2 linked regions of the Anolis sagrei genome follow. The protein of the gene in region 1 interacts with the protein of each later gene in a biochemical or structural test. Links are inferred from orthologs where the notes say so. Each region holds a gene or a part of one and is shown in the gene's direction. Other genes may lie near its edges. The genes, in order: USP8 and STAM2.

Region 1 (16,041 bases):
AAGCAAGGGGGTTTATATAATGTGGGATTTTATTCAGCTGTGTGGAAAGGGCCCAGGGCAGAAAATACTTTTTAAAAAATAAGTTAGATCAAACTAACAAAGATCTGTGTGTTGTCAAAGGCTTTCATGGCTTGAATCACTGGATTGCTGTGAGTTTTCTGGGCTGTATGGCCATGTTCCAGATGCATTCTCTCGTGACGTTTCACCCACATCTATGGCAGGCATCCTCAGAGGTTGTGAGGTTATCTGAGTCCACACTGCTACATATTCCAAAGCAGATAACGTGGGGCTTTATTCAGCTGTGTGGAAGAGGCCTAGGATACAATGGAGCCATGGGTTCAAATGACAGGAGATTCCAATTTGAATCTTAGGAAGCACTTCCTGACTGTAAGAAGAGCTGTTCAGCAGTGGAACTCCTGCCTTGGATTGTGGAGGAAGCAACTTCCTTGGAGGCTTGACAACAGAGGCTGGATGGCCATCTCTCAGGGGTCTTTGGTTGTGCTTTTCCTGCTGCCCTGACTCACTGTGAGGTGAGCTGTGAGGACAGGAGAACTGTTCAGCAGTGGAACTCTCTGCCCTAGAATGTGGTGGAGGCTCCTTCTTTGGAGGCTTTGAAACTGAGACTGGGTGGCCATCTGTCTGGGGGACTTTGGTTGTAATTTCCTTGCTTCTTGTCAGAATGGGGTTCGAGTGGATGGCCCATGGTGGAAAGGCCCTGGGTTATATGGCTATGCGGAAGGGCTGCTTCCTTGGAGGCTTGGAAACAAGAGGCTGGAAACAAACTACAGGAAAAGAGATTCCACCTGAACATTAGGAAGAACTTCCTCACTGTGAGGAGAGAGATGTTCAGCAGTGGAACTCTCTGCCCTAGAATGTGGTGGGGGCTCCTTCTTTGGAGGCTTTGAAACTGAGGCTGGGTGGCCATCTGTCTGGGGGGCTTTGGTGGTCCTTTTCCTGCTGTCTTGAAGAATAGGGCGCAGAACAACGGCTGTAAACGACAGGAAAGGAGATTCCACCTGAACATTGGGAAGAACTTCCTCACTGTGAGGAGAGGAGAGGTGTTCAGCAGTGGAACTCTCTGCCCTAGACTGTGGTGGAGGCTCCTTATTTGGAGGCTTTGAAACTGGGACTGGGTGGCCATCTGTCTAGGGGGCTTTGGTTTGGATTTCCTTGCTTCTTGGCAGAATTGGGTTGGAGTGGATGGCCCATGGTGGAAGGGCCCTGGGTTATATGGCTGCTTCCTTAGAGGCTTGGAAACAAGAGGCTGGAAACAAACTACAGGAAAAAAGATTCCACTTGAACATTAGGAAGAACTTCCTCACTGTGAGGAGAGCTGTCAGGAGAGGAGACCTATTCAGCAGTGGAACTCCCTGCCTTGGAGTGTGGAGGAAGCTGCTTCCTTGGAGGCTTGGAAACGAACTACAGGAAAAGAGATTCCACCTGAACTTTAGAAAGCACTTCCTGACTGTAAGAAGAGCTGTTCAGCAGTGGAACTCACTGCCTTGGAGTGTGGAGGAAGATGCTTCCTTGGAGGCTTGGCAAGAGGCTGGATGGCCATCTCTCAGGGGGGCTTAGGTTGCGCGTTTCCTGCTGCCCTGAAGAATAGGACGCAGAACAATTCCTGCAAACTACAGGAAAAGAGATTCCACCTGAACATTAGGAAGAACTTCCTCACTGTGAGGAGAGCTGTTCAGCAGTGGAACTCACTGCCTTGGAGAGTGGAGGAAGCTGCTTCCTTGGAGGCTTGACAACAGAGGCTGGATGCCCATTTGTTAGGGGGACTTTAGTTGTGCTTTTCCTGCTGCCCTGAAGACTAGGGTGCAGAACAACGCCTGCAAACTACAGGAGAGGAGATTCCACCTGAACATTAGGAAGAACTTCCTCAGTGTGAGGAGAGGAGGTGTTCAGCAGTGGAACTCCCTGCCCCAGAATGTGGTGGAGGCTTTGAAACAGTCTTGGTGGCCATCTGTCTGGGGGGCTTTGGTTGTGATTTCCTTGCTCCTTGGCAGAATGGGGTTGGAGTGGATGGCCCATGGTGGTCTCTTGCAGCTCTTTCATTCTGTGGGACGGTAGGCCTCAAGCCTGTCAGAAGCAGGGGAGGAAAAGCGGCGCGAGGGGGGAGTTAGAGAGGCCTAGTTCACCCGGGGAGGCCTCGCGAGGGACCCGAGTGTGGAGGCAAGGCGGCGGCGGAAAGGAGGGCCTTCTCCCCGGAAGGAAGGAAGGAAGAGAGGAAGGGAGGAAGGAAGGCCTTTCCTTTCCCCGCCTGACAGGAAATCCTGGCTGGGCGCGAGCGAGGAGGAGGCGAGGGCCGCGACGAGGCGCCGGGTTCCGGGGGAAGTGGAATTATTTTTTACCAGCCCAGGAGAGAGAGATCCACTTCCACATCCGGTAACAAGCAGGGGCCTCGCCAGCAAGGGCGCCGACTGACCTGGAAAAGCTTGGCTGGCCGCGGAAAGGAAGAGGAAGGAAGGAAGGAAATGAGGGGGGGGGGGAGGGCCGGGCGCCGCTTACCGTGCCTCCGCCGGAGAAAGAAGCAAGCAAGGAAGGCCTCTTTCGCCGCCTCCTCCGCCGCGTCTCTGAGGCGCCCAAAAGCCCCGCCAAAGAGTCCCTCTCGGCGCTGTGGCGGAAGGACACCGGCAGGGAGCGCTCTTCACGAGACAGGCCTCTGCCAGGAGGAGGCGGAGGAGGGTTCTGCTCCTTCCCCAAATCCCTTCGCCTGGCAAAAAGGAACCACTCTGAACATATTCACTCCTTATTATTACTCAACTTTCCTTATTCCAGATAGGGATTATTTTTTTTTGTATCTCGGAGGCCTCACAAAAGAAGCAGGGGGGGGGAAGGGGAGGGAGTGTGTGGCGGAGGGATATTAGTATTTGAAATCCGCGCAGGCGCAGAAGCCAGCAAGGGAGCCGCCATGTTTGAAGGTGGCTGCTTTTCCCGCCTTGGGAGGGAGGGAGTTCGGCCTCCGAGGGAGGGAGTTCAGCCTTATAGCCCAGAATATCAAGGCAGAAAATGCCACAATATTTGCTTTGAACTGGGCTATCTGGCTCCGCACTGTTATTAAGCAGATAATGGGATTCTAAGCAGATAATGTGGGATTGTATACAGCTGTGTGGAAGGGCTCCCTCTCTCTCCCCCCCCTCTCTCTCCCTTTCCCCTCCCTCTCTCCCTTTCCCTCCCTCCCCGCTCTCTCTCCCTTTCCCTCTCCCTCTTCTCTCCCTCCTTGCTCTCTTCCCCTCTTCTCTCCCTCCCTCCTTGCCCCCTCTCTCTCCTTCCCCTCTCTCTTTCTCCTCCCCCTCTCTCTTTCTCCCTCCTTCCCCCCTCTCTCCCTTTCCCCCTCCCTCTCCCTCTCTCCTTCACCCCTCCCTCTCTCCCTCCCGCCTTCCCCGCTCCCTCTCCCTCCCTCCTTTCTCCCTTTCCCCCGCCCTCTCGCTCTCTCCCTCCTTCCCTTTCTCCCTCCCTCCTTGCCCCCCCTCTCTCCCTTTCCCCTCCCTCTTTCTCCTCCCCCGCTCTCTCCTTCTCTTCCTCCTCCTTCTCCCCTTCTCTCTTTCTCCTCCCCTCCCTCCCTCCTTCCCCCTCTCTCTCCCCCTCTCTCCCTTTCCTCCTCTCCCTCCCTCCTTTCCCCCTCCCTCTCTCCCTCCCTCCTTCCCCCTCTCTCCCCCTCCCTTTCCCCCTCTCTCCCTTTCCTCCTCTCTCTCCCTCCCTCCTTTCCCCCTCTCTCCCTTTCCCCCTCCTTCTCTCCCTCCTTCCCCCTCTCTCCCCCTCCCTTTCCCCCCTCTCCCTTTCCTCCTCTCTCTCCCTCCCTCCTTTCCCCCTCTCTCCCTTTCCCCCTCCTTCTCTCCCTCCTTCCCCCCTCTCTCCCCCTCCCTTTCCCCCCTCTCCCTTTCCTCCTCTCTCTCCCTCCCTCCTTTCCCCCTCTCTCCCTTTCCTCCTTTCCCTCTCCCTCCCTCCTTCCCTCTCTCTCCCTTTCCCCCTCTCTGCCCTCTCTCTCCCTTCTTCCTCTCTCTCTCTCTCTCTCTCTCTCTGGGCCCTTCCACACAGCCCTATATCCCAGAATATCAAGGAAGAAAATCCCACATTATCTGAATGCGGATTCGAATAACCTAGTTCAGAACAGATATTGTGGGGTTTTCTGCCTTTATATTCTGGGATATAGGGCTGTGTGGAAGGGCCCAGAGAGAGGGGGGGCCTTCCACACAGCTGTGTAAAATCCCACATCTGCTTTGAACCAGAATATACAACAGTGTAAAGTCAGATAACCCAGTTCAAAGCAGATACTGTGGCTTATTTGCCTTGATATTCTGGGTTATATGGCGGGGGAGGGCCTTAAGGTCCCTATCACACAGCTATATAAAATCCCACATCTATTCTGAACTGGACTATATGGCAGCGTGGAATCAGATAACCCAGTTCCCAGTTCAAAGCAGACACTGGATTATCTGCCTTGATATATTGGGTTAAATGGCTGTGGGGAAGAGCCCCGTGGCTCCGGAAAAGAGTGGCAGGTTTTGCCATAGATTTCAAAGTCAGCCATGTTAGGGTCCTTCTACACTGCCATATAATCCAGATTTTGAAAGCACCTAATCCACAATATCAATTTTGAACTGGATTATATGTTGGTGTAGACAGAGGTCCCTTCATTGAGCCATATAACCCAGGGCCCTTCCACACAGCCATATAACTCAGAATATCAAGGCAGATAATCCACAATATCTGCTTTGAAGTGGGTTATCTGAGTCCACACTGACATATATTCCAGTTCAAAGCAGATATGGGGTTTTATTCAGATGTGTGGAAGGGGTCCCAGAATATCAAGGCAGATAATCTACAATATCGGATTATCTGAGTCCACACTGTCATCTAATCCAGTTCAATGTGGATTTTAGACAGCTGTGTGGAAGGGACCTTAGTCTCAGATATCTGTTTGCCAAGCAGATAATGTGATTTATCTGATTTAATAATCTGGATTATCTGGCAGTGTATAAGGGGTCTGAGGGCCCTTCCACGCAGCCATATAATCCAGAATATTAAGGTGGTTAATCCCACAATATCTGCATTGAACTGGGTTATCTGAATTGACACTGCCATATATTCTAGTTCAAAACAGATAATTTGGGATTTTATTCAGCTGTGTGGAAGGGGTATGAGACAAGGTCTCATCTACACTGTCATGTAATCCAGTTCAGTGCAGATAATCTGGATTCTATGGCAGTAAAAATCCATCCAGAAAGAAGTTTGGTAGTAACAGCTTCCATTGCTGTGTGCATTAAAGAAAGTTCGTTATTATTTATTGTTTATACCCATTTTTCTCTCTCCACAAATGAGATTCAAAGCAGCTCAGAGATGCATATAGTCAGTTTCAAGTTGGATTATCATTGATCAATGTAGAGAAAAGAGTGAACTGTGTTCCAGATCTTACATTGATCCAGTTTACAGGTGAGATTAATCATTCTTATGCAAAGCTATTCAGGTCCATCAGAAGTGCTTTGTTTCCCAGACTAGGCTAAAGTCACTCTTCTGAAGGGAACTAAAAGCAGAGATAGGTGACTCCAGAATGGTAACGAAAGATTATAATAATGTAACAGTGCAAGTGCTTGCAATTTTAAACTATGTAAAACAGCCCAACAAAAAAAATATTAGTGTGTCTTGGTTTTTAGGTTTATTCCCAGGGTTCTTTGGGGTGCTGATTCAGAAAATTGCACTAGATAGACTGCATTATCTCTAGTTTCTTAAATAGGGTTATCCTGATTTCTATGGACAAGTAGATTGTGACTGTTAGATAGCATCTGTCTCAAGAACCAGAACTGCTGGGGGGAAACTGGTGGCATTTTTGGAAACAATCTGCCAAATATACCCAGAAACAGGGGAAACATTCAAGGTACCAAATGTGTGGTGGTCAGTTTTTTAAGTAACTGGACTGGAGGAAGATCAAGGTCCTTCTATACTGCCATAAAATCGAGTTAATAAAACCAAGTTATAACGTTTTGTGATCTGGAGTCTCTTTTCCCTAATTACACTGACTAAATTACCAACTTGTATTTAGTGCTGTGTGTTATGACGTGTTTGGAGGAACTGATCTTTGTACTGAAGCTTGCATAGCCATAGAGCTTTTATGGTGACATGTTCACTGTTGACTCAAATATTCATTATTTTATTCGTAAATCCTGAGTTCTTCCCTACATTGGGCTCAAGACAGCCTACAAGAAAATTAAAACAAAATATGATTAAAACATACAAAAGGTAAAAAAAGAATGGTAAAAACGGTGCAAAATAATTTCAAAATTGTTTTGATTACTGAAAACCTTCATGCAATAAATCACACATTTTAACCTCAGTTTTACAAAAATTGTACTAGACTGTAGGTAAATCTAACTGCAGTTCTTTTGGTACAAAATGGAAAATGCTGATGGAAAAAGGCAGTGCATCAAGTTGTAAACATGACCTTCAGGAAAGTGCAGTCATATTTCCAGATACCTTGCCCTAGCAATAATACTGATCACTTCCGTGTGCTTCTGAAAGCGCATACAGATAGAATATCTGAGTAACCTTGGTAAACTAGTTTACTTATAGTCAAAGGATACTCTCAGTAGTATGAATATACTCAAACAGGCTCAAAATCGCAGAGAAAGTAAATTCAGGCCTGAGTCTACATCTGCCATATAATCCTCTTCAATGTGGATTTTATACAGCTGTGTGGAAGGGTTCAAGGGGCCTTCCGCAATACCCCGCTATCCCAGGATCTGATCTCGGAGCCCTTCCACACAACCATATAACCAATAATATCAAGGCAGAAAATTCCACAATGTCTGTACTAGAGGCCCTTCCAGATCCTATATCTCAGGATCTGGTTCCAGGGTTTCTGTTTATTCCAGATTAGCTGGCAGTGTGGACACATAATCTAATTTAAAGCATAAAACCTGGAAACAGATCCTGGGATAGAGGGCCTGTCTGGAAGGGCCCTGGGTCACCTGAGGCCCCTTTCACACAGCTAAATCATAGAGTTGGAAGAGACCTCATGGGCCATCCAGTCCAACCCCCTTCCAAGAAGCAGGAAAATTGTATTCAAAGCACCCCTGACAGATGGTCATCCAGCTTCTGTTTAAAAGCTTCCAAAGCTATTATACCTTTTCCAGAATGCACCAATAATTAGGAACAATAGATTATTTAACGCCTGGAATAAAGAAATATTAAAATTTATCTGGAAAGGGAAAAGACCGAGAATAAAATATGGATATTTGACTGACGCGAAGAACAGAGGAGGGCTAGGTCTACCAGATCTAAACCTCTATTACGAAGTGTGCGGTCTAAGCTGGATAAAAGATTGGATCTTACTAAATAAGGAGAAAATACTAGAATCGGAGGGTTTTGACCTGGGAATTGGCTGGCACGTGTACTTCTGATACGACCAAATCAAAAGGGATTTTTTTTAAACAACCATTGTTAGATCTGTGCTAATGAAAATGTGGGCCAGATTTTATTTATTATTTATTATTATTATTTACTTCGCTTATAGACCGCAATTCTCAGCCCAGGGGCGACTCGCTGCGGTGTACAACATAGAAAAACAGGTGCAAAATACAAGACATAGTGTAAAATAATCCACAATTCATCATTATCAAAAACATCCTCATCAAAACATCAACATTACTACAAAGCCATTCCGTGTCATCTCATCGTCAAACCCACAATCCGGTATCATTTCCGTTATTCCATTCCTATGGTCAATTTACCAATCATTGCACATCTTGTTCAAATGCCTTCTTAAACAGCCAGGTCTTTAGTTTCCTGCGGAATATCAACAGGGAGGGCGCTAGCTTCATGTCTACGGGAAGGGTGTTCCACAGCCGAGGAGCCACCACCGAGAAGGCCCTATCTCTCGTCCCCGCCAGCTGTGCCTGTGACGCAGGCGGGATTGAGAGCAGGGCCTCCCCCGGAAGATCTCAAAGTCCTCGTGGGCTCATAGGCCGAGAGGCGGTCAGTTAGGTATCTTGGGCCGGAACTGTTTAGGGCTTTATAGGCCAACGCCAGCACCTTGAATTGAGCCCAGTAGCAGATCGGCAGCCAGTGGAGCTGGTACAGCAGGAGAGTTGTATGCTCCCTGCGTCCTGCTCCTGTTAGCATCATGGCTGCCGCCCGTTGGACCAGTTGGAGCTTCCGGGCCGTCTTTAAGGGCAACCCCACGTAGAGAGCGTTGCAGTAGTCTAAGCGGGATGTAACCAGAGCGTGGACTACCGTGGCCAAGTTAGACTTCCCAAGGTACGGGCTAAACTTTACCCAAAGATTCCTTTGTGGATATCCCCCCTTGAAGCAGGACAGAGAAGGTTATTGGGATGGTCCAACTGGCCCATCTATAAGGACATTTTAATAATAATAATAATAATAAAAAGGTAATCTGCAACTGAAAACAAGGGAGGAAATTGCCCAAAGCTTTAGCTCAGTTTCATGGTTCCAGTTCTTACAACTAAAGGATTATTTATTTATTTATTTATTTATTTATTTGGGGTTCTTTTACCCCGCCCTTCTCACCCCGAAGGGGACTCAGGGCGGCTCACAAAAGCAAGGCACAATTTGATGCCTGCATCATAAAAACAATCAACACAAAATTACATCAATACACAGTTAACACCAAATATACATTATAACCATAAAATCAATAAAACCAAATACAAACCCAGTTTCTCCTCTTGCATGGTCAGCGTTTGCTACTCATAGATCTAGTTTTACGTTCCACTTCATCAATCCTGCTGGTCTTACTCGCCTGGTTGTCTGATTTAATTGCCCGAGTGCCCAAAGGCCTGGTCCCATAACCAAGTCTTCACCCTTCTCCTAAAGGCGAGGAGGGATGATGATGCCCTGATTTCCCCCGGGAGTGTGTTCCACAGGTGAGGGGCCACCACTGAGAAAGCCCTGCTCCTCGTCCCCACCAGCCTCACTTGTGACAGTGGTGGGGTCAATAGCAGGGCCTCCCCAGATGATCTCAGACTCCGAGGCGGGATGTAGAGGGAGATACGTTCGGACAGATACACTGGACCGGAACCGTACAGGGTTTTGTAGGTCAAAACCAGCACCTTGAATTGTGCTCGGAACTGAATCGGCAGCCAGTGGAGCTGGCATAGCAGGGGGGTGGTATGCTCCCTGTATGACGCTCCGGTGAGCAATCTGGCTGCCGCTCACTGGACTAGTTGAAGTTTCCGAACAGTCTTCACGGGCAACCCCACATAGAGCGCATTGCAGTAGTCTATTCGGGATATAACAAGAGCGTGGACCACCGTTACATCTTCTTAATACTTATATTAATACGTTAATACTTCTTCTTCTTCTTCTTCTTCTTCTTCTTCTTCTTATTATTATTATTATTATATCCTGGGTTAAAAGCCAGTTTCTGAACTTTTGTGTTTTGGACTGCAATTCCCAGGATTCCTCTCCATTGGACAGGCTCGCGGGGCCTTCTGGGATTCGAAGTCCAAAACACTTAAAGAGGCCCCCACAGTGTGTTGCTTATTGAGTAGGCTTCGGACGCGCCTGTCGTCCAGGTCCCTTGGGGAGCGCGGGCGTCTCGTTTTCTCTTCAGGCCCGCCACGGACACCTCATCCCTCTCGGAGGCCCCCACCGCCGCTTTCGGACACTTCCGGCGGCCCAGCCCCTTTCGCGGAAGTCCCGTCTCCCCGCCCCTCAGTTCCGCCTCGGCCGGCCAACGAGAGGCGAGAGAAGCTCGGGCTGCCTTCCTCCCTACCTTCCTTCCTCAGCTGCTCGGGTGCCGGGAGATGGGCCTAGCCCTGAAGGGAAGCACAGCGAGGCCGGGGCCGGGGTGAGTCCTCCTCTAGAGCGAGGGGAAAGGCCTGCCGGGCCTGGAGAGGCCTGCTCTGCGCCTCAGAGAGAGAGCCAGAGAGGGTTTGGCCCAAGGGAGGGAGAGAGGGAGGCCTTTCAATTGGAACGAGAGCTGTTTCAAGTGAGCCCTCTTTAACTGCCACGGCCCAGTTCAGTGGGCACACTTGAAACTCCCAAGCATTCCACAAGGCAGTTAAAAGGGTCTCAAACTGCATTAATTCCACGGTGTGGCTTAGGTTCAAGGTGAGTTCAAAAGCTGACTTGTCCCACCGAAGCTTGGGTTTCAAGGGCACTTCACAGGTGAAGAAATCTGCAAGAGAATACTTTTATTGTATTGTCGAAGGCTTTCATGGCTGGAATCACTGGGTTCTTGTGGGTTTTTTCGGGCTATACGGCCATGTTCTAGAGGCATTTCTCCAGACGTTTCGCCTGCATCTATGGCAAGCATCCTCAGAGGTAGTGAGGTCTGTTGGAACTAGGAAAAAGGATTTATATATCTGTGGAATGACCAGGGTGGGGCAAAGAGTTTCGGGGTATGGTGTCATCTGTAGCAGATGATGTCCAACTCTGTCACTCCTTCCCACCTGCTACTAAGGAGGCTGTCGAGGTCCTGAACCGGTGCTTGGCCGCTGTGACGGTCTGGATGGGGGCGAACAAATTGAAATTGAATCCAGACAAGACAGAGGTACTCCTGGTCAGTCGCAGGGCCGAACAGGGTATAGGGTTACAGCCTGTGTTAGACTGGGTCGCACTCCCCCTGAAGACACAGGTCCGCAGTTTGGGTGTGATCCTGGACTCATCGCTGAGCCTGGATCCCCAGGTTTCGGCGGTGACCAGGGGAGCATTCGCACAGTTAAGACTCGTGCGCCAACTGCGACCGTACCTTGGGAAGTCTGACTTGGCCACGGTAGTCCACGCTCTGGTTACATCCCGCCTTGACTACTGCAACGCTCTCTACGTGGGGTTGCCTTTGAAGACGGCCCGGAAGCTCCAACTAGTCCAACGGGCGGCAGCCATGGTATTAACAGGAGCAGGACGCAGGGAACATACAACTCCTCTGCTGTACCAGCTCCACTGGCTACCGATTAGCTACCGGGCCCAATTCAAAGTGCTGGCTTTGGCCTTTAAAGCCCTAAACGGTTCTGGCCCTACATATCTATCCGAACGTATCTCGGCCTATCAGCCCACCAGGACCCTAAGATCTTCGGGAGAGGCCCTTCTTTCCATCCCGCCTGCTTCACAGGTGCGGCTCGCGGGAACGAGAGACAGGGCCTTTTCTGTGGTGGCCCTGCGGCTTTGGAATGCCCTCCCTATAGAGATAAGATCAGCCACCTCGCTGATGGTATTTCGGAAAAAACTGAAAACATGGATGTTTGAGCAAGCATTCGGCTAATCCGATGCGATGAAGTTTTTGATCAAGGACTGGCAATCACAGACAACGAAACTGGATTATAACTTTAATTAAGAGATGCATTGGTCTGTATTGGTGGCCCAATACTGTGTATTGTATATGTATGTGTTTTATATTTTTAATCGAAATATTGTTGTTTTTAAATGTTGTAAACCGCAATGAGTCGCCGTTTTAGGCTGAGATATTAGCGGTATACAAGTGTACTAAATAAATAATAAATAAGAACTCTTGTCTGCTGGAGCTAGGGGTGAATGTTTCAACTGACCACCTTCATTAGCATTTGAAGGCCTGGCTGAGCCTGGGGGAATCTTTCGTTGAGAGATGTTAAGATGTGCCTGGTTCTTTCCTCTCTGCTGTTTTGCTGTTGTAATTTTAGAGTTTTTTAATACTGGTAGCCAGATTTTGTTCATTTTCATGGTCTCCTCCTTTCTGTTGAAGTTGTCCACATGCTTGTGTATTTGAATGGCTTCTCTGTGTCGTCTGACATGGTGGTTGTGAGAGTGGTCCAGCGTTTCTGTGTTCTCAAATAATCTGCTGTGTCCAGATTGGTTCCTCAGGTGCTCTGCTATTATTATTATTATTATTATTATTATTAACTTTATTTGTACCCCGCTAGCATCTCCCGAAGGACTCGATGCGGTTTACACAGGCAGAAGCCTCAGAACACAATACAGTAAAAACATAACACAACAATAAACAAAGCAAATCAAATAGTTAAGCAAAATAACAACAACAGTAACGATGCATCAAGACACTTTAAAACTGGGCCGGCCAGCGCAATGGGGTACAGGGTTAAAAGTGCTGAAATGGCAGGAGGAACGCAGGATTAAAATAGTGCGGTGTGCTATGGCTGACTTCTCTGGTTGAAGTAGTCTGCAGTGCCTTTCATGTTCCTTGATTCGTGTTTGGGCAACGCTGCTGCATTTGGTGGTCCCTATGTAGACTTGCCCACAGCTGCATGGTATACGGTAGACTCCTGCAGAGGTGAGAGGATCCCTCTTGTCCTTTGCTGAACGAAGCATCTGTTGGATTTTCTTGGTGGGTCTGGAGATAGTTTGTATGTTGTGTTTCCTCCTCAGCTTCCCTATGCGGTCAGTGGTTCCCTTGATGTATGGCAGGAACACTTTCCCTCTGGGTGGATCTTCATCTTTACTCTCGTGGCTTCTTCTCGGTTGTCTTGCAGCTCTTCTGATGTCTGAGGTGGAGTCTCCATTGGCCTGGAGAGCCCAGTTTAGGTGGTTCAGTTCATCTTGGAGGAGGTGGGGTTCGCAGATTCTTTTATTCTCTAATATTTATTTATTTACTAGCTGTCCCCTGCCATGCGTTGCTGTGGCCCAGTCTGTTGATCTCTAAAATAAAGAGAGAAAGTGTTGGTTTCTAATATATGTAATGTCTTGTTGCTTGTGGGTAAACAGTATTTCTTGTTGTTTCTTTGTCAGTGTTGACGTGGAGATTGTTTGGTTTGCCCACCCTGGAACATGCAATATATCATTGTCCTTCTGTAAGGGTCCCTTTCAAGTCTATGATACTATAGCTCTCTGTGTGAATAATATCTATCTATCTAGCTATATCTACCTATGGCTGGATGGCTCTTTGTCAGGAGGACTTTGATTACATTTTCTTGCCCCGATGAAGGGAGTTGGATTGGATGGCCTTAAGTATTTTTTGTTGGTCATGGGGGTTCTGTGTGGGAAATTTGCCCCACTACCTCCCGTTGGACTAGTTAATATAGTAACTTCAGGTGTATTTACACCAGGCATGGGCAAAGTTGGGCCCTCCCTCCAGGTGTTTTGGACTTCAATTCCCACAGTTCCTAAGAGCCTCAGGCCCCTTCCTTTTCCCCTCAGCTACTTAAGTAGAAAAGGAGAAGAAAAGGAAAGGGCCCGAGGCTGTTGGTAATTGTGGGAGTTGAAGTCCAAAACACCTGGAGGGAGGGCCCAAGTTCGCCCATGCCTTCCCTATCCCATCAAGTGTTACAATTATGTTGTGTAGTTACATCCAAACTTGACTGGGGCACAGAACAGAAGGATGGTCTGTCCATTGATCCACTTCTGGTTTAATGTGTATTCTCTCCAAAAAGGAACTTTCTTCTCAAGTGTTCTAGCCTCTAAACCAGGCATGGCCAAACTTTGCCCCTCCGGATGTTTTGGACTTCAACTTCCACAATTCCTAGGAGCCAATAGGCTGTAAAGAATTGTGGGAGTTAAATTCCAAAACACCTTAAGGGCTGGAGTTTGCCCTTGCCTGGTCTACACGGTAGAATTGAACTATCAATAGGCACAGGCCCTGTTCCCAGAGTTAAACACACTTATGGGCATGTACTTGTCATAATAGGTCACATTTGGAAACTCAAATTGGTGGCTATCTACATATAGAAAAGTTATGGAAATTCAAAATTGGAAGTGATTACTAGAGACGTTTCATCATTTGAATGTGGTTTTTAGCAGGCTTGTCACACTGTATGATGTCAGTAGAATTCGGATGAATGTAAGTTAAGTAATTACACCACAAAGTATTCAAGCGACTCGTTCTGGATTGTTAAACCAGGCTGGAGTTACACTGCCCTATATCCCAGGATCTGATCCCAGATTATCTGCTTTGAACTGGGTTATATGAGTCTACACTGCCAGATTATCTGGGATAAACAGATAATCTGTGATCAGATCCTGGGATATAGGGCAGTGTAGAGCCAACCACAGAGCTTTCAGTGAAAGAGGCTTGGTGCTTTGTGATTTGCGAAGTTGTAGAAGTATCCTGGACTCTGGTTTAGAGTTCTTTAATTTGTCATGTCGGGAGCAAACCAAACAGTTGTGTTGTATTTAAAATAAAAACAAAAAACACAAAGTTTGGAAAAATTGAGAACTTTTCTGCAGTTCCCATAAGCCCCAGTGGTAAGGGATTGTAAGAGTTGTAGTCCTAAAATGGAATATTTTGAGCAGTCCATGGGTGGGGGGGGGGGGGGTCCCAAAAGCAGAGAACTGGCCCTGAGAATTTCTAAAGTTGTTGATCTCTCCAGCCCCTTCCACACAGCTGAATAATATCCCACATTTTCTGCTTTAAACTGGAATATATGAAAGTGTGGACTCAGATAACCCAGTTCAAAGCAGATATTGCGGGATGTTCTGCCTTGATATTCTGGGTTATATGGCTGTGTGGAAGGGCCCTCTTATAATATAATTAGAATGTTAAGTATTCGTCTTTGAACTTGGCCCACTTCATTGCAGTATATATCAAGATGTTTTACTGTGATTGTTTAAAGGATTCACAGTCATTATGACATACAAATAAGTATTTTGGGCTAAGACAACTGCAGGCTTTCAATGTTTTTGTAAGCTGCTGAGGGCCCTTCCACACAGTCCTATATCCCAAAATATCAAGTCAGAAAATCCCACAATATCTGCTTTGAACTGATTTGTCTGAGTCCACAGTTCCAGTTCAAAGCAGATAATGTGGGGTTTTCTGCCTTGATATTCTGGACATAGGGCTGTGTGTAAAGGGCCCAGAGAACCTCTTGTGCTAGAAACCATTTTGCTATTTTGTTATGTCACTTCAAGTACATTGGAACCAGAAAGTAAGGCTTGGCTTGTGGGAGAACATCAATAATTTGATGAAATGACATTATGCATACTTAGGCAATAAACTCTGCCAAGAGGGACTGAATACTGTAATCTTTGTATGGTAGTTAGAAAACTTAACATGCTTTAGTAATACAGCACTAGCACTCTGTAGTAACTTATCAGAAACTGGTCATAATTTCAGAAGTTTGTGGCATTGATGGGAAATATTGGGATTAGTGCCTTTGGATAATAAATACTTGTGTTTTTCAGTCCTGTGAGATCCATATTAGACAGAAATATATTTTAACAAGTGTAGCTCATAGTAAGCACTTTCAGATATTTGAGTCTGTAACCCTATAAATACTTCAGATAAAAAGAAAAGCCAATAATCCATCAAAGATGGTTGCCAAAGTCTTATTGATTTTGAATCTGGATTGTTCAGTTGTTCTTTATTATATGGCCTGTGTTGAGATGTTCTTCGGGAATAAGTGCACTTTCAAGCGTGTCTGCAGTTTCACTCAAGAAAAAGTGTTTTTAATTTTTTTTATTCTAAAAAGTAAACTTTGATTTTGCCATCTTTTTCTACATTATTGTATTTAATGATTATTTTAAAACATTTATATTCTGCCCTTCTCACCCCGAAGGGGACTCAGGGCAGAGCACAGCATATACATGGCAAACATTCAATGCCGGTACACAAATTCACATACAATACATAAACATTAAAAAAACATTTATCCAAATATTAAAATACACCATTTAAAACTGTCCTAGTCATCCGCTGCAACGCACTCTACATGGGGTTACCTTTGAAGACTGCTCGGAAGCTTCAAATAGTCCAAGAGGCAGCCAGGTTAATAACTGGAACAGCACACAGGGAGCACACAACTCCCATGTTATGCCAACTCCACTGGCTGCCAGTTTGCTACCGGGCACAATTCAAAGTGCTGGCTTTGGCCTATCAAGCCCTAAACGGCCCCGGCCCAAATTACCTGTCAGAACACATCTCCTCCTATGAACCATCACGGAGATTAAGATCCTCTGGGGAGGCCCTGCTTTCTGTCCCACCATTGTCACAGGTGCGATTGGTGGGGACGAGGGACAGGGCCTTCTCGGTGATTGCTCCCCGGCTATGGAACTCCCTTCCTGGTGAGATCAGGTCGGCCCCCTCCCTCCTGTCCTTTAGAAGGATGGTAAAAACTTGGCTGTGGGGCCAAGCTTTCGGGACAGGGCCATAAAGCAGCA
Region 2 (15,568 bases), on another chromosome or scaffold:
GGGAGGTGCCTTGCAGCCATCACCCCAAAGCCACCATATGATGTTTGCCCTGACTATGCCCTGAACACAACCATACCTTGCATCATGGTTAATAAACACTTTCTTATATAGCAGTCCCATTCACAAGCAATCATAAGTTCCAGTGGGAACCTATTTTTGAGAAAACATGCATAGTTTTATAATGGAAGTAGGACAATGGAGAACTACTGCTGTGCAAACATAAGATTAATTAAAGGCTAATATTAAAAATAAGCTTGTAAATGTTTGGAATAAAATAATCCTGAACATTATTTAGTATTTACATATATAGGGCTTTCAATGTACAGTTGGTGATCTACATTTGCAGGTTTGCATTTTGTGGATTTGATTATTCATGGATTTGATTAAATTATAATTTCTAGAAATTTCTACAAATCTCTATCTCCCCCAGTGTGAAACCACGGTTAACTTCCACCAACCACAGTGGAGGACCTAGTGAGGCCACATCTAGGAATCTCTAGGTCCAGTTTGAGTTTATGGTTGGCCTCTAATGGAATTTGGCCATAGAATTGTGTCAGAGAACACAGAAATCCCTAAAGATATTTTCTCGGGTAAAAAGAAATGCAATTCACTTTCAAGGGAATCCTGTGCCTCTAACGTCAGTGAATGAGGCCGGATGGCAGTATATTCAAGGCATACAGACTCCTCCAAGATTCTTGGAGTGCAATGTCTGACTCTGGGAAGGGAACTATGAGGAGAGAGAGCCAAGAATATATGCAATCATCCATCCTCCATTCATAACAACTGAGGTGCATAAGACACTTTCTGTAATGCAGTCTGAATAATTCTTTTGGGCCTAGGGTTTAAATAATAAATAAAGCCACTGCTCTTTGTGTTTTCTGAAAGAGCTAAAGGGCACACATTTCACTAGGAGAGACAGACACTGAACATTTTTGTTTTTGTTCAGAGAGTTGTTGGCAATGTTTCCCTGAGGACCATGTCTTCCTAGGGCAGGCTGAAGGTTCAGTCCAGAAGTAGTACATTGACTTGAGCAGAAGAGGTTCTCAGTCTTGTTTAGTTGATAAATTAAGGGTAACAGATTTTACAAACGTGGACATTTCTTCAAGGTATTATTTTTAATTCTAATACCTCTGCCATGGAATTTTTTTTAACAAGATGCTTGGAACCTATAAATGAATGAGCAAAGTATACCTGGTTTTTTATGAACTGGACATACTGAACCATATTTATTTCCACTGTACGGTTCCCCTGAAAATTCTGCCCCCCAGCTATGACCCAAAATCTAGTCCTTACACTTTGCTACTGTTCTCTGCCCAGAGATATAATATTCCACCTCATATTTCCCTCTATCCCTAATTTTGTCATCTGGCATTTGCACTTTATTCATCAGCCCTGTCCTCATAATTGATTTGTACCATCCCGCCTGAGCCCAGAAACTGTTATTATTTCAGACTACCGGTTGTTTGTTTGATTGTTGTTTTTATACTGTGTTATGTGGTTTTTTGTTTTATATTTTTTATGATGGTGTTTTATGAATTCCCTCTCGATTATAATCTATTACCCCTAATACTAATGGGTATTCTGTCTATCATACACAAATGTGTATGATCAACACATACACATTTGTGTATGATTTCTGTCTATCATACACAAATGTGTTGATAAGGAATCAGTACCAACAGGAGTTTATTGTTCGCTATTCCCCACCAAATAAATTCGTGGACAAATGTGTGCTTAGCTACATAAAGCCATGCTGGACTTCAGTGGGATTCAGCTCTGCTCCAGTGGTTTAATCTGAAAAATGGGATGTGCTTTCTCCCCTGCTGGAGCAAAGGGCACTTAGCATAAATTGTTTTATTGGCTCATGCACCTTACAAGATCAAACAGCGCTGGCATGTTAAGACCTTCTGTTTCTGAGCGTATGAAAACATTCCAGCATGATAAGCAGATGCCTTGGGGTTAAGGACAAGGCTTATAGGGGTAAGAACTGTCACACCTTGGGGAGTGCACCAGCCCTTTTAAAATTTATCACAGGAATGCAAAGGAGTGACAGCTCGCAGACAGGCCCTGGCATTCCTCCCTGAACAGACAGCAACCCTGTGCCCCCCCCCCCCATTTGTCTACAGAAGCAGAGTGGCGGATCTGCAGGTGCTTCGCTCAGGAATGCCGGTGAGTCCAGCTGAAGACAGGCAGCTGCTTCCCTGAGGAAAAAGAGAGAGACTTGCACTCTTACTGAAGGGTGTGGGCCCCACACTGTGGCCTGGGCCCGAGTCTTAAAATAAACACAACAATGTCATAAATATATTACAGGAATATCTACAGATCGTTCTTTTCCCTACAGACTAATCACCATTCTTGTTAGGAGAAGCCCTAAAATGTCTCATTACTCACACTGAAACCTAGCATTATATCATTCAAGAAAGTTTTTACAAAGTAACATAACGGGTTGCACACCTACATGCAGAAACATGAACGCATGTCTGCCATATAAATGTGTGTTCCACAATCTCATCCATGTAGGCTATATTATTATTATATGACAGATTTTGTTATTATCCTCTCTTTGAGGTAACACATTGATACTATACATTTGCTTTAGTCATGTCATGCATTAATAAACATGCATCTCTCAGTGCCCACACCACAACTATTTCAAGGCTAGTCTGGAGATATGAGGATCAGTAAGATAGACGAAATGACAAACACAGTTGTAAAAACAGGTGACAGGATAATCAAATATAATGACTCTTGTTATCAAACACAGATATACACCAGATTGACTACCACTGATGAAGCCAAAGCGTTACTTACTTTAGTCTGGGCGGCAGAGGGAACTCATACAAAACAAATAATAGATTTGAAGTGCCCCTATGTATTGGAATGATAGAAAATGTAATTTCTCTGCCTATCAGAAACTGATCTCCAACTGAGGCCACTCTACAAGCTGTATAAAATCCAAAGTATTAGCTTTGAACTGGAGGATATGGCAGTGTAGACACAGATAATCTACTTCAAAGCAGATAATCTGGATTATCTGCCTTGATATTCTGGATTATATGGCAGTATAGAAGGGCCCTGGAGCAGAGGTGTGATAGACACATGTTTGGGAGCTGATAAGGAGAACAAGGCAAAGCCAAGATCAAATGAATGTAAGGCAAAATCCAAGCAAAGCCAGAAGCACCTTGGACAGCTCCATTTGGAGCTCTCATTGGAGGCTGGTAGGAGCTGATGTCAATGAGAAGCAAGCTCTGATTACAGCCTTACAGAGGGTGCATCTACACTGCAGAATTATTACATCTTGATACCACTTTGACTGCCATGGCTTCATGCTATGGAATCATGGAATTTGTAGTTTTACAAGGTCTGTAGCCTTCTCTGCCAAAGAGTGCTGGTTCCTCACCAAACTCCAACTCCCAGGATTCGATACCATTGAGCCATGGCAGTTAAAATCTACAGTGTAGATGCACCCCAATAGAAACCTTACCGAAGGGTTCAGAATTACGCTTCCCTCTCCCTGTGAGCAGAATTCCATCATATAGTCTCCATCTCATAGGATAAAATTAATAAGAAGAAGGAGGAGGAGGCAGGCCTTCTCTTGTCCAGCAATAAGTAGGCTGGAGAAGCCTTCACTTTAGATGTCATACACTCAGATACATAAAATGAATCAAAAAGGCTACAAATGATTTAGAGATGTGTATTTTGTTTTCTAAGTGGGAAATACCTAAATACCACTTTCCTTTACTACACAGACAGAGCTCTGCTTAATAAGAGTATTACATGCTCACAGGCTGTTTTTGCAGTTGCGTGCATAACGTTTCAGTGGACAAAAAAGGTTTTCTACAATTTTTAAGCAAAAAAAACCCTGAAGCATTCTTGTTGACAACTTGATGTTTTCTCCTGTATTGAGATACATCATGGGGGATATGTTCCTGAACTTACCGTGGAAATAGAGCCCTGGGTAATAAGGAATCCTATTGAAATGAACAACTTTTGTTAGATGTTACCACAGAGTCACCCTGGAGGCCATAGAAAATCCTTAGAAAAGACATATTTTGTTGGATGTGGGTAGAAGAAAATGTACCTATTGGTTTTGTGTGTATCCGGAGTGTTCTGTATAATATGCCCAGGTTATGGTGGCTGTATATTACTGCACTACTTCATTTACATTGTCCCCCCTGATAAGCTAGAAGCAAACTGGAGCTGCAGGACCTTGGAACAGACTACTTCCAGAATCCAAGGCTTCCAAAGGCATGCTATGATCCTGATGGTCATTATACTACTATTTCCATTTTTTCCTCCCTGTTCTGCTCATATTCCAAACCCAACTTCAAGAAGTTTGCAGTAAGAAATCCTGGAGCAGGTTGGGGAAAAAAGTGATGAACTTTATACAGCCAGGAGTATAAAGTAGAAGCTGTGCTTTGAATGTTGTGGCCAAGTTATGGCTTGGAACAATATTGCCACCTATAGAGGAAATATAGCATATCTCTTTTCTCTCCTCTCACTGCCAGATGAAATTAAAAAGCATTTAATAGTATGAGTGGTTTCAGGGAGTCATTTTTTACAGAGTTGCTGTACTTTTAACTATATTATATTGTATTATAATGATGCTACACTTTAAAGCATTTTATAACTTGCTTGATAGAGTTTAAACTTTTGAAATTTCACATTGCTTGGCTTTGCATTAATTGTCTGTGTTGTCAAAATTTGCTTGCAAGGTTATACAGGGATACAGTTCCTTCAGAGTATGGTGAGTTTGCAGTTGATGTCACCAAGTTTTGTATCAAGCCAGAAACTTTGGGAAACAGCTAGTGTGAAAGACACAACTACTGAGTAATAGTATTCTAAACCACTTTTCTGTCTGAAATTGGATAGTGCAAAAATTACTCGCCACACTTTGGCAGCTGCATCTACAAATGCACCATCTTTCCCATAAAACCTAACTTATGGAGATTCTGGATAACAAGCAATAGTCTTATGGCTAATATGAAGGTTTTCTGCATATATTCTCCTGCCTTTACATTTCCCACACAAATTAAAAATGAATTTCAACTGATGGTAGTGAAAAATTTGTCAGGTGCCAGGCTTTTATTTAAATTTGATTAGTAACATCAGATTTGGATTTTGGTTCCTATTACCTAGGGAAAGGTCTTCTTGCGTTAACTGTAGCTTTCTAATTGCTGAACATCTTTTTTAAAAGTGTGTCAAAAAGTATAATTGTTCTATACATTCTTCTGTAGATCCTTGTACATATCTCTTATACAAATGTACTTATCACTTCAATTTCTTCCATAAATCTATAGGCTGCTGCTTGTTCTTTTATTTCCAGTCTCTTTAAAATTTCTGACGACGAGACAAAGTGAACAAACTTATGTCAATGAAGTCGGCTTATACAGTATCAACACTGCATCATAACATTGTAAACATCAATTTGCTTCAGAAAAGATAGTCCAGAAACCGTGCTTTATTCTTTGATGTCTGAAAATAGTTGTTCAAAGGTAATAGGTCAGCTTTCCAAATACAAATTTGGGAAACAGGAACACTGATGAGCTCTGCAGCAAGGTCTGATAAATTAACAGTGGGCTCTACAGAAGATGCTTCAGCTGTACTCCATAAGAAGAAAAATCAGCTTGCTTAGCAAGCCTTGCAAACACAGATTTGCAAACACATGTTTGGTTTTTATACTTATTTCATATCCCTGTATACCCAGGATCGTGTAAAAATTTCTCAGGAAAAAAAGGGGCCATAAGTGGAAGTTTTTAGAAGCCCTGCTGTAGAACACATCAGACATTTTAAGACTGAAAACCTGGTAACTTCACCATCACATCAAGCGGTTGGCTGTAAGAGTAGTCAGATATCTAGATGGCCATGAATATGAATGCATAGACCATGAAACTGTTGGCCAGCACTACTACACTGCTGAAAGCATTGATAACAGTGTGCTGTGGAAACAGGAAAAAAACTGACTTTAGCGGTTGTGAGAATGAAGAGATAGCATCAGAAGTCATGTGTCAGAAGAAATTGCTCTTTTGCTGGCTCCTGAACTTCATGGGAGTGGTAGGACAGTTTTCCTTGGCAATAGAGACAGCTTTCCCTGCCATCCCCCCCATTGCTGCGCCACATCCCTCCAGAAAGTGCCTGACATCAGCATAGCAGACTGTTAAGGCACCAAAAGGATTCTGGCCATAATCTCACAAAGGCCATGGCTATTCGCATCATATGCCAAAGTGAGCAGGAATTTGATGTTTTCTGCATTTTGCACGTGCTGTGTTTTCAGCTGCTCTTGTAATGCAATAGTCATCTGACCCAGACCTGGTCACACCAGCAGACAAGGACAACTGGTTTGCAAATGTATTTGTCAGATTAAGGCATTTTTATAGCACTGCACTGAGTGGAATTCTCTGCATTTCCATTCTACATTCTTTACAACATTTGGCACTGCCAATGCAGCTAAATACCAATGTTGGGATTGATTCCTGAACAACATACACTCTGTTTATGGCATGAATATAAAATGCTCTATGTTTGATGTGAGTTGTGATCAACTCTTACATAATTAAGCAAAGTTTTCTCGCCTCCTCAGTTTTTCAATAATCTAATGTTGGATCTGGGATCAAGATTTCAAACTTCCTTCAATGCAGGCTTGTATCTAAGCAAAGAGACCAAGGGTACATCTAGATTTAATGTAGTTAGACACCACTGTAACTGCCATGGCTCAATGCTATGTGGTATATAGCTTGGCGAGGCACCAGCACTCTTTGGCAGAGAAGGCTCAAGATCTTGTAAAACGACAGCTCCCAGGATCCCATAGCATTGAGCCATGGCAGTTAAAAGTGGTACCCAGTTGCATTAGTTCTACAGTGTAGATTTACACAACTCCAAAAGTCTAATGCAGTGTACACACACCTCAAAATAACTTTTCAAGTCAAAGCCTTCTTCCAGAACCTCAGACCTCCACTCCAGCTCTTCAGTGTAAAACAGCAATAGAATCTACATGGGGTTGCCTTTAAAGACTGGAAGCTCCAACTAGTCCAATGGATGGCAGCCAGGTTGCTCGCTGGAGCGACATGCAGACAGCATACAACCCCTCTGCTATGCCACTGGTTGCCAATCTGCTACCAAGCACAATTCCAAGTGTGGGCTTTAGCCTATAAAGCCTTGAAAGGTTCTGGCTCAGCTTACCTATTTGAACGTATCCTCCTGTTATGAACCACTGTGAAGTCTAAGATCAACAGGAGAGGCCCTGCTCTCGGTTCCACCATCCTTGGAAACGTGACTGGTGGACACGAGAGACAGGGCCTTCTCAGTGGTGGCCCCTTGCCTGTGGAACTCTCTACCCAGTGACATTAGATTGGCCCTCTCCCTCTTGTCCTTTAGAATGAAACTCAAAACTTGGCTATGGGACCAAGCGTTCGAACAGTAGAGGCAGAAATTTAGAATGAGACCCAGTTTGTGTGAATGACAATGGACAGACCTGGACTATGATTTCAAACCTGTGTGATTTAAACAATGTTTTAGTAATTTTAAAGCAGTAATGAATTGTTTTAATTGCTTTTATCATTTATTACTGTTGTTTGCATTGAATGAATGCCTCTTGTGAAGCCGCTTTGAGTCCCCCTCCGGGGGATGAGAACAACGGGATACAAATATGCGAAATAAATAAATAATCTCTAACTGCCTGACTTGGGAAGACAGTCCTGATTAGTCCCATTGTCTTGACTTCTTCAACTGCTTTTAAAATGTCCTGAGGCCCTTCCACACAGCCCTACATCCCAGAATATCAAGGTAGAAAATTCCGCTTTATCTGAGTGTGGACTCAGATAACCCAGTTCAAAGCAGATATTGTGGGATTTTCTGCCTTGATATTCTGGGATGTAGGGCTGCGTAGAAAGGCATCTTGATTTTATTAAAATGTTGTATGACCGCAATATATCCCGGTTTTCACCATCTCCAAAGTTAGAGGTATGTGGACTGAAAGGGCAGAATCACAATAGGGTAATTGCATGGGAAACAATCCTACAGTCGGTATATTCTTGGGGGGGGGGGGCAATTATTCTTACTTATATATTAGAAAGTAAAGGTAAAGGTTTCCCCTGACATTACGTCTAGTCGTGTCCGACCTTGGGGGGTGGTGCTCATCTTCATTTCTAAGCCGAAGAGCCAGCGTTGTCCAAAGACACTTCCAAGGTCATGTGGGCAGCATGACTGCATGGAGCGCTGTTACCTTCCCACATAAGCGGTACCTATTGATCTACTCACATTTGCATGTTTTCAAATTGCTAGGTTGGCAGAAGCTGGGGCTGACAGTGGGAGCTCACACTGCTCCTTGGATTCGAACCTCTGACCTTTTGGTGAACAAGTTTAGGAGCTCAGCGGTTTAACTCGCTGCGCCACTAGGAGGCCCACTTAGCTATTACACATACTTATCAATTTAGGTTTCAGCTTCCCACCATATGGCTGTTAGAGACCCCAGCATAAAAGAAAAACTTATTCTGAATTCTATTGGATTTGCTTAAAGTGCATCTAGACTGGAGAATGAATGCAGTTCAACATCACTTGAACTGCCATGGCTCAATGCTATGGAATTTTAGAATTTGTAGTTTGGCAGAGGTTAAAGACCTTGTCAAACTACAACTCCCATGATTCTATAGCACTGAGCCATGGCAGTTAAAGTGTTGGCAAACTGCATTCATCTACAGTACAGATTTGCACAGCCCCAAAGTCTCATTTTTGTAGTTTGCTGATGCACCAACACTTTTGGGCAGAGGAGGTTAAAGACCTTGTAAAACTACAACTCCCATGATTGTATGGCACTGAGCCACGACAGTTACAAGTGCTGGCAAATAGTATAGATTTGCACAACCCCCAAAGTGTCATCTTGTTCTGAACTCCCCTCCCCTTCTCCTCACTGGAACTTGAATGCCTTGACTGCTTAAAACAGCAGGCCTTACTATGGTCCCTTCCACACAGCCCTATAACCCAGGATATCAAGGCAGAAAATCCCACAGTATCTGCTTTGAACTGGGATATATGGCAGTGTACTGCCATATATCCCAGTTCAAAGCAGATACTGCGGGATTTTCTGCCTTGATATCCTGGGTTATAGGGCTGTGTGGAAGAGCCCTATATTACCAATGGATTGCAAATGCAGTCAGCTGCCTTGCTACTCTTTTAACTTCCAGGCAAATAGTGAAGCGCTCTCAACAATGTTTATGTCTACACGCCTCTATTTCTTAGGACCCTGAAGCCAGGTGTCTATGTATTGCCTGTCTCCGCAGAACGCCAATCAATTAAGTGTTCTTCTCCACTCTTCTATCTCTATGCGCCTCTCCTTCCTAGGACCCCGGTGCTAGGTGTCTATTGTATTGCCTGCCTCCTTAGCCGACATTTTCCCTTAGTGTCGAGGGAAACGTAAAAGGGGGGACGCGATGTTCAAGCCGTATTCCTCCTCCTCCTCCTCCGACCTTCGCGTCTCCTCAGGCGCGCGCTGGACGGCAATGAAGCGAGAGGGCGGGTCCTTCGCGGAGGGCGGAAGAGGAAGTTGGGGAGAGGAGAGGAGAGGGGCGGGGCTGAGTGGAGGAGCAGGGGCTGGTGGGCTGCGTCTCTAGTCGCTCCTTCCTTCCTCCCTTCCTTCAGCCGGGTCTCTTCGCCTCCCCTTCCCTCTGCCGCCGCCATGCCGCTCTTCGCCCCCAACCCCTTCGAGCAGGATGTGGGTGAGTCGAGGGCCACGGAAGGGCCCCAGGGAAGAAAGCCAAGCAGGGCCTGGCCTGGTTAGCACTTGGGAGGGAGGCCACTGCCAGGTCTCTTTCAAGGGAAGGAACTGCCAAGGCCCCTTCTTGTTTAAGGGCCCTTCCACACAGCCCTATATCCCAGAATATCAGAGTGTGGACTCAAGGCCCTTCCACACAGCCCTATATCCCAGAATATCAAGGCAGAAAATCTCACAATACCTGCTTTAAACTAGGTTATCTAATCCAATTCAAAGCAGATATCTAATCCAATTCAAAGGCTGGTCCCCTTTGGGGCGAAGGGAAGACAAAGTGTCAGGCTAGCAAAGACTTCTCTATGCCGACAGTGACTCAAGGGGCCCATCCACACAGCCCTATACCCCAGAATATCCCACAACATCAGAGTGTGAACTCAAGGCCCTTCCACACAGCCCTATGTCCCAGAATATCAAGGCAGAAAACCCCACCATATCTGAGTGTGGACTTGGATAACCAAGGGCCCTTCCACACAGTCCTATGTCCCAGAATATCAGCTTTGAGCTAGATTATCAAATCCAATTCAAAGCAAATAATGTGGGATTTTATTCAGCTGTGTAGAAGGGGCCTAAGAAGCTCCTATGGAGTTCTTGGGGCCACTCGGCTGGCAGGTGACTTGAAGGCACTTCACACAAAAAGGCTTTGGGGCAAAGGGAAGACAAAGTGTCAGCCTAGCAAAGACTTCTCTATGCCGACAGTGACTCAAGGGGCCCTTCCACACAGCCCTATATCCCACAATATCTGCGTGTGGACTCAGGGCCCTTCCACACAGTCCTATGTCCCAGAATATCAAGGCCGAAAACACCACAATATCTGCTTTGAGGTGGGTTATCTAATCCAGTTCAAAGCAGATAATGTGGGATTTTATTAGGTAGAAGGGACCTAAGGAGTCCTTGAGGCCATTCATCTGGCAGGTGATTTGAAGGCACCTCAAACACAAAGGCTGGTCCTCTTTGGGGCAAAGGGCAAAGGGAAGATGAAGTGTCAGGAGAGCAAAGACTTCTCTAATCCCACAGTGACTAGACTGTTGTGAGCCAAAACCCCCACAATAACAGCTTAGAACTGGGTTACCTGACTCCACACTGCCATATATCCCAGCTCAAAGCAGATATTGTGGGGTTTTCTGACTTGATATTCTGGGTTATATAGCTGTGTGGAAGGGCCCTGGGATTTTATTCAGCCATGTGGAAGGGGCCTGGCGCATCTACATTGTAAGATTAATGCACAGCAATACCACTTTTAACTGCCATGACTCAGGACCCTTCTACACTGCCATATAATCCAGATTATCAAAGCAGACAATCCACATTATCTGCTTTGAACCGGATTATCTCAGTTTACATCCAGTTCAAAGCAGATAACCTGGATTTTATATGGTAGTATAGAAGGAGTCTCTGTGCTGGAGGATCATAGGAGTTGTGGTTTTACAAGGCTTCATCTGCTAAAAGGTGTAAGTGCCTCATTAGGCCACAGATTCCTTGATTCCATAGGATCACACTACAGAAGCCTAAAGACCCTTCTACACAGCCATATAACCCAGTTCAAAGCAGATAATGTGAGATTTTATACAGCTGTGTGGAAGGGACCATAGGCCATATCATCCAGAATATTAAGGCAGAATAACCCACAATATTTGCTTTGAACTGGAATATCTGAGGGCCCTTCCAGACAGGCCCTATATCCCAGAATCCCATTTTCTGCTTCAAACTGGATTATATGAGTTCACACTGTCTGGGATAAACAGAAAACCTGGAATCATATGGAAGGGCCCTGAGTCCACGCTGTCAGATAATGTGGGATTTTATTCAGCTGTGTGGAAGGAGCCAAAGTGCTGTCAAACTGCATTAATTCTACATTTCAGAAGCACCACTTGTAAGGTCCCTCTTACACTAGATATGACCAGTGGTTTGTATGTGTTTTAATGATGAATGTTTTAAGTTTTAACTTTAATCGTTTTAACTGTTTTAACTGTTGTGGTTTGTGGATTTTGAACATTTTAAATATTGTTGTTGTATGGCTTTGAGTTCCAATCTGGGGGGAAAGTGGGACATTAGTAATAGTAGTAGTAACCAGGGTTCCTTGGCATGACTCAGGGGATGCTGTGCCAATATCCAGCCACACAATTCCTGAGTCATTGGGGCAAAGAGAGAGTTTCCTGGTGAATGGGCCCCCAAGTGTCTCAATCGCGATAAAAGCAGGATATAAGTAATTATAATCCCCACCTCCATTCAGATATTTTGCACTGGCCAAAAAGGAGGTCACTCATTTTCTTGGGGTTGTGGCTGTGTATCATTTCAGACCATATTCCCAGAATGCAGACCATATTACCATAGCACAGAGTTGTTTCTATTGGCATGGGTTTGGGTTGTTGTGTTTTGGTTGGCGGTTTGGGAGGAAATGACTTTCTGATTAAGAGATTATTGTTCCGGAAATACTGTACTCTATATTCCTGAAACTGGGTCACAACTATTTCATGTTGTTTCTTCCAACTTATAAATATTTGGCCCGTTTCCCATGCGCAACATGGAAATGGGTCTCTTCATCTCTAGAATTTCTACTATCTTTGTGAAATGTTCTGCTGGCTGGGAGCTACCCAAGGGCAGTTCTTTCTCAGCTGTCAAATGTAGAACTGAACCTGAGAGCTAATGATTTGCCCAAGAGTAATTCAAGGGTGAGTCAGGTTTTTAGCCTGACTCCTGCTCTGGTTGTTTGTCAGCTGGACTGTTATCTCTTGTGTACTCAAGCAACCACAAAGCAGAACTATACTTCAAAGTAAGCGTCTTATGCTGGTCTTGCATTCACTGTATGATACACATGTATAAAAGAAGTGTTATGCCTTTGTCAGTCCAAAGCTGACCTGAACTTTCCACTATGACATTATTACATTAAAAACCAAGCAGAATAGGATTTTTCCTCCTTGCAGAAATGGCCTTATAAGTATTGTAATCTCTGCCACTTCCTTTGCTCACCTGCGGCATGTGACAGGTTATGTACTTTCAAGTATTTTCACTCTGAGTGATTTAAGGCTATGTTGGCACACACCAAGTCCTTGAATTGGCTCCAGAAATGAACCTTATGTCTTAAAGGTTGTTGTTCAATATTTTGTAGTTTAGAGGGTTAAGTTGATTTGGAGGTTGGGGATCTGGCATGGATGGCTGTCTTGATTTAACAACATAGATTAGTTCCATAGTTAGATTGAAAGAACAAAATATGTTTGTTTTAAAATGCATTGTGGTGTACAGTTTCACAGAATGTTCTGAAAGCATTGAGTTGAAATTAATGGATTTATTTGTTTTCTGTTTTATCTATCAATAATTGTTCGAAAATGACTTTAAAGAGCTTTATCGCTATCGGTATACTTTTTTGTACCTATATTGTAACTGCTGTCACTAGGCTGACTACATAAGTATTTGATCTTTAAGATAATGAATGATCTCGGTGGTTCATATTCCATCTTAAAAAGCCCAAAGTTCCTGAAAGGGGCTGGGCCTGGAATCGATTAGTCAACAGGTCATACGGTTTCACACAGAAGAGAACACTTTTCTTCATAACTTACAGTGACATCACTTGTAGTCAGCTATTAGCTATTGTATTTCCTGGTTGGTGGATAATTTGAAATCTGGGAACAGGAACAAGTTGTTAGTGTAAAAAGAATTATGAAAGTATGTTTTAGTCCTTATGTACATTCACCTAAGAGTCTAGGAGCTTATTTCTGCACAGGACTGCAGTGTTAATGACCCTAACTTGTATGTGTTAACAGATTTGACACTGAAGAGTATAGTGTAATTCATTATATTATTTAAAATAACATTTAATATGCAATTTAAACAGTCAAACATAAAGAAAGATATTAATTATATCAAAATAGTAGTTAAAAAGCCAGGAAACAAAGTCATTAGAATCTAACAAGAATATTGCAGCATGGTGGAAAACTAGAAAATGGCAATCAACTTGAGCACATTTCAAACTAACTGCAGTTCATCCAACACTCACACATGCATGCACACACACACACACACATGAAACATGAACTTAAAACGACATTTTTAAAAAGATTGTGACTATATTTTGTACAATACAAAATTATTAAAAACTTCAGTACTGTTCCATTATCTGGGTGGAGGCCACTAGGGAGTGCTAGGGAGAGAAGGATAGTCTATTTTATGGGGGTTGGGGTGGGTTGAAGGAGTAAAACCATTTCCTCCTGTTTTCCTGTTATTCCGCTCGTCTATGATATAAGAAGTGGGGAGGGGGAATGACCAGCGAAAAAAGGGGAAAATGGTTTTCCCCCTTCAATTGTCCCCCGCCCTAAAATGGACAGCCCTTCTCTCTCTATTACCCCCTAATGGCCTCCGCCTGGATAATGGAACAGTACCAAAAAGTTCTAATCAGATGTGTGCTTACAAATATATGTAATGTGCTTAATATTTTAGCTTTTGAAAATCGGTTAAACAAGCAAGAAACAGACAGGTTTGCTCTTTACATTCACAAGTTTATTAAAAGCTTAGATGTATTGGTTTTTTACCTGAACGAAGCAATACTATGCATGGTTACTCATATCCCATAGACTTCAGTAGCAAAACCTTAATTTTCGTTGTCAAAACACAAAGATGTTCTAAGAAGTCAAGATCTGATAAATATGAGGATTATATGCAAGGAATGCTAAGAATGTATAAACATATATGGATTCTGTAAATATATTATTTTAAAACTTTCATTGAAATACCAGTATGTTTCAGGAGAAGCTGTTTTGATACTATTTTGACAACAGAGATGTTTCTAGAGAAGCTCAGAAGCCATGTTACAGATGACAATGCATTCTTGTTAGAGATCTCGTTATGTAGCTTTCTAAGGCCAATATAGAGAGAGCTAACTGCAAATGGACTTTGATTTCTGGTACGATTTCTGTTCTCCTTTGTCAACATTATAAAAACCTTACACCAGTGAATTGTTCTGTTACATGTAAGCAAATTGCTTGCTTTTGATTTATAAAATGTTACAAAAACAAAATAAACTGAGGAATTAGTATTTCATTTGCTGTTATACTGAGTCTATTTTATATTTTGACAGACATGGAATAAACAAACCTGGGAAGCTATCTTGTCTCTTTATGTTTGGATACATTTTTGCTTGTGCAACCTGAGGATATGCACAAGCTACTTGTAGGCTTGAGATTTACCACTTGTTTTCTAGATCCTTATTCCTCTAGGATATTAGGAGCTGTCAGGATGAAACCTACTGTTTAGGCTATAGGGGTGGTTAACATACTTTTTAGGGGAAGGGAATTCTCTTTCAGGAAATCCTACTTCCCTGAAAAAAAGCAATTGTAAATCTGTACCCTATTCTGGACATTTTACAACCTAGAGTCCAACATGCCATTTTGAATCACGATACTAGAAAGGGAGGTGAGACCTGTTTTTAATGAAACATAGAAAGAATCCACATAGATTCTTGTTTGGAGATAGGAGAGAACCATTGTTCTAACAGGACAAACTCCACTGGTAATTTTGAAAGATTTTTGTTCTACTTCATGACTTTTTACTTTATGGTAGATCCATCTTACCTTATCTGTTAAGTATCTACACCAAGCCGCTGGGAGGTCAGCTAGAGAGTCAGACTAATGTGTCATCAGTATGTTGTTTGCTAATCTGAGGGCAGCAGCAGAACCTTGTAATAGTTGCTCAGGAACAGTTTTAGAGTAGGTGAACAGTCTGAAATATAATCCAACAAGATACTGATACTATAACTAAGGGAGGACAGAGGTGATCAGCTGTTCCTGAGCATGAGATCATCTATTTCTGTAAAAC

Evidence for each region.
Region 2: the proteins of USP8 (region 1) and STAM2 form a complex in vitro, tested with the Homo sapiens proteins (3 studies listed by BioGRID, with this or other methods). The link is inferred for Anolis sagrei from reciprocal best matches to the Homo sapiens genes USP8 and STAM2.

Annotation. Positions count from the first base shown.
Region 1 is NC_090029.1:32,018,158-32,034,198, reverse strand, and holds the start of USP8 (ubiquitin carboxyl-terminal hydrolase 8), read left to right. Parts: upstream 1-9,626; 5' UTR 9,627-9,808; intron 9,809-12,422; 5' UTR 12,423-12,498; intron 12,499-16,041. UniProt on the Homo sapiens protein: Hydrolase that can remove conjugated ubiquitin from proteins and therefore plays an important regulatory role at the level of protein turnover by preventing degradation. Converts both 'Lys-48' an 'Lys-63'-linked ubiquitin chains.
Region 2 is NC_090021.1:204,397,466-204,413,033, forward strand, and holds the start of STAM2 (signal transducing adapter molecule 2), read left to right. Parts: upstream 1-9,535; 5' UTR 9,536-9,670; coding exon 9,671-9,710; intron 9,711-15,568.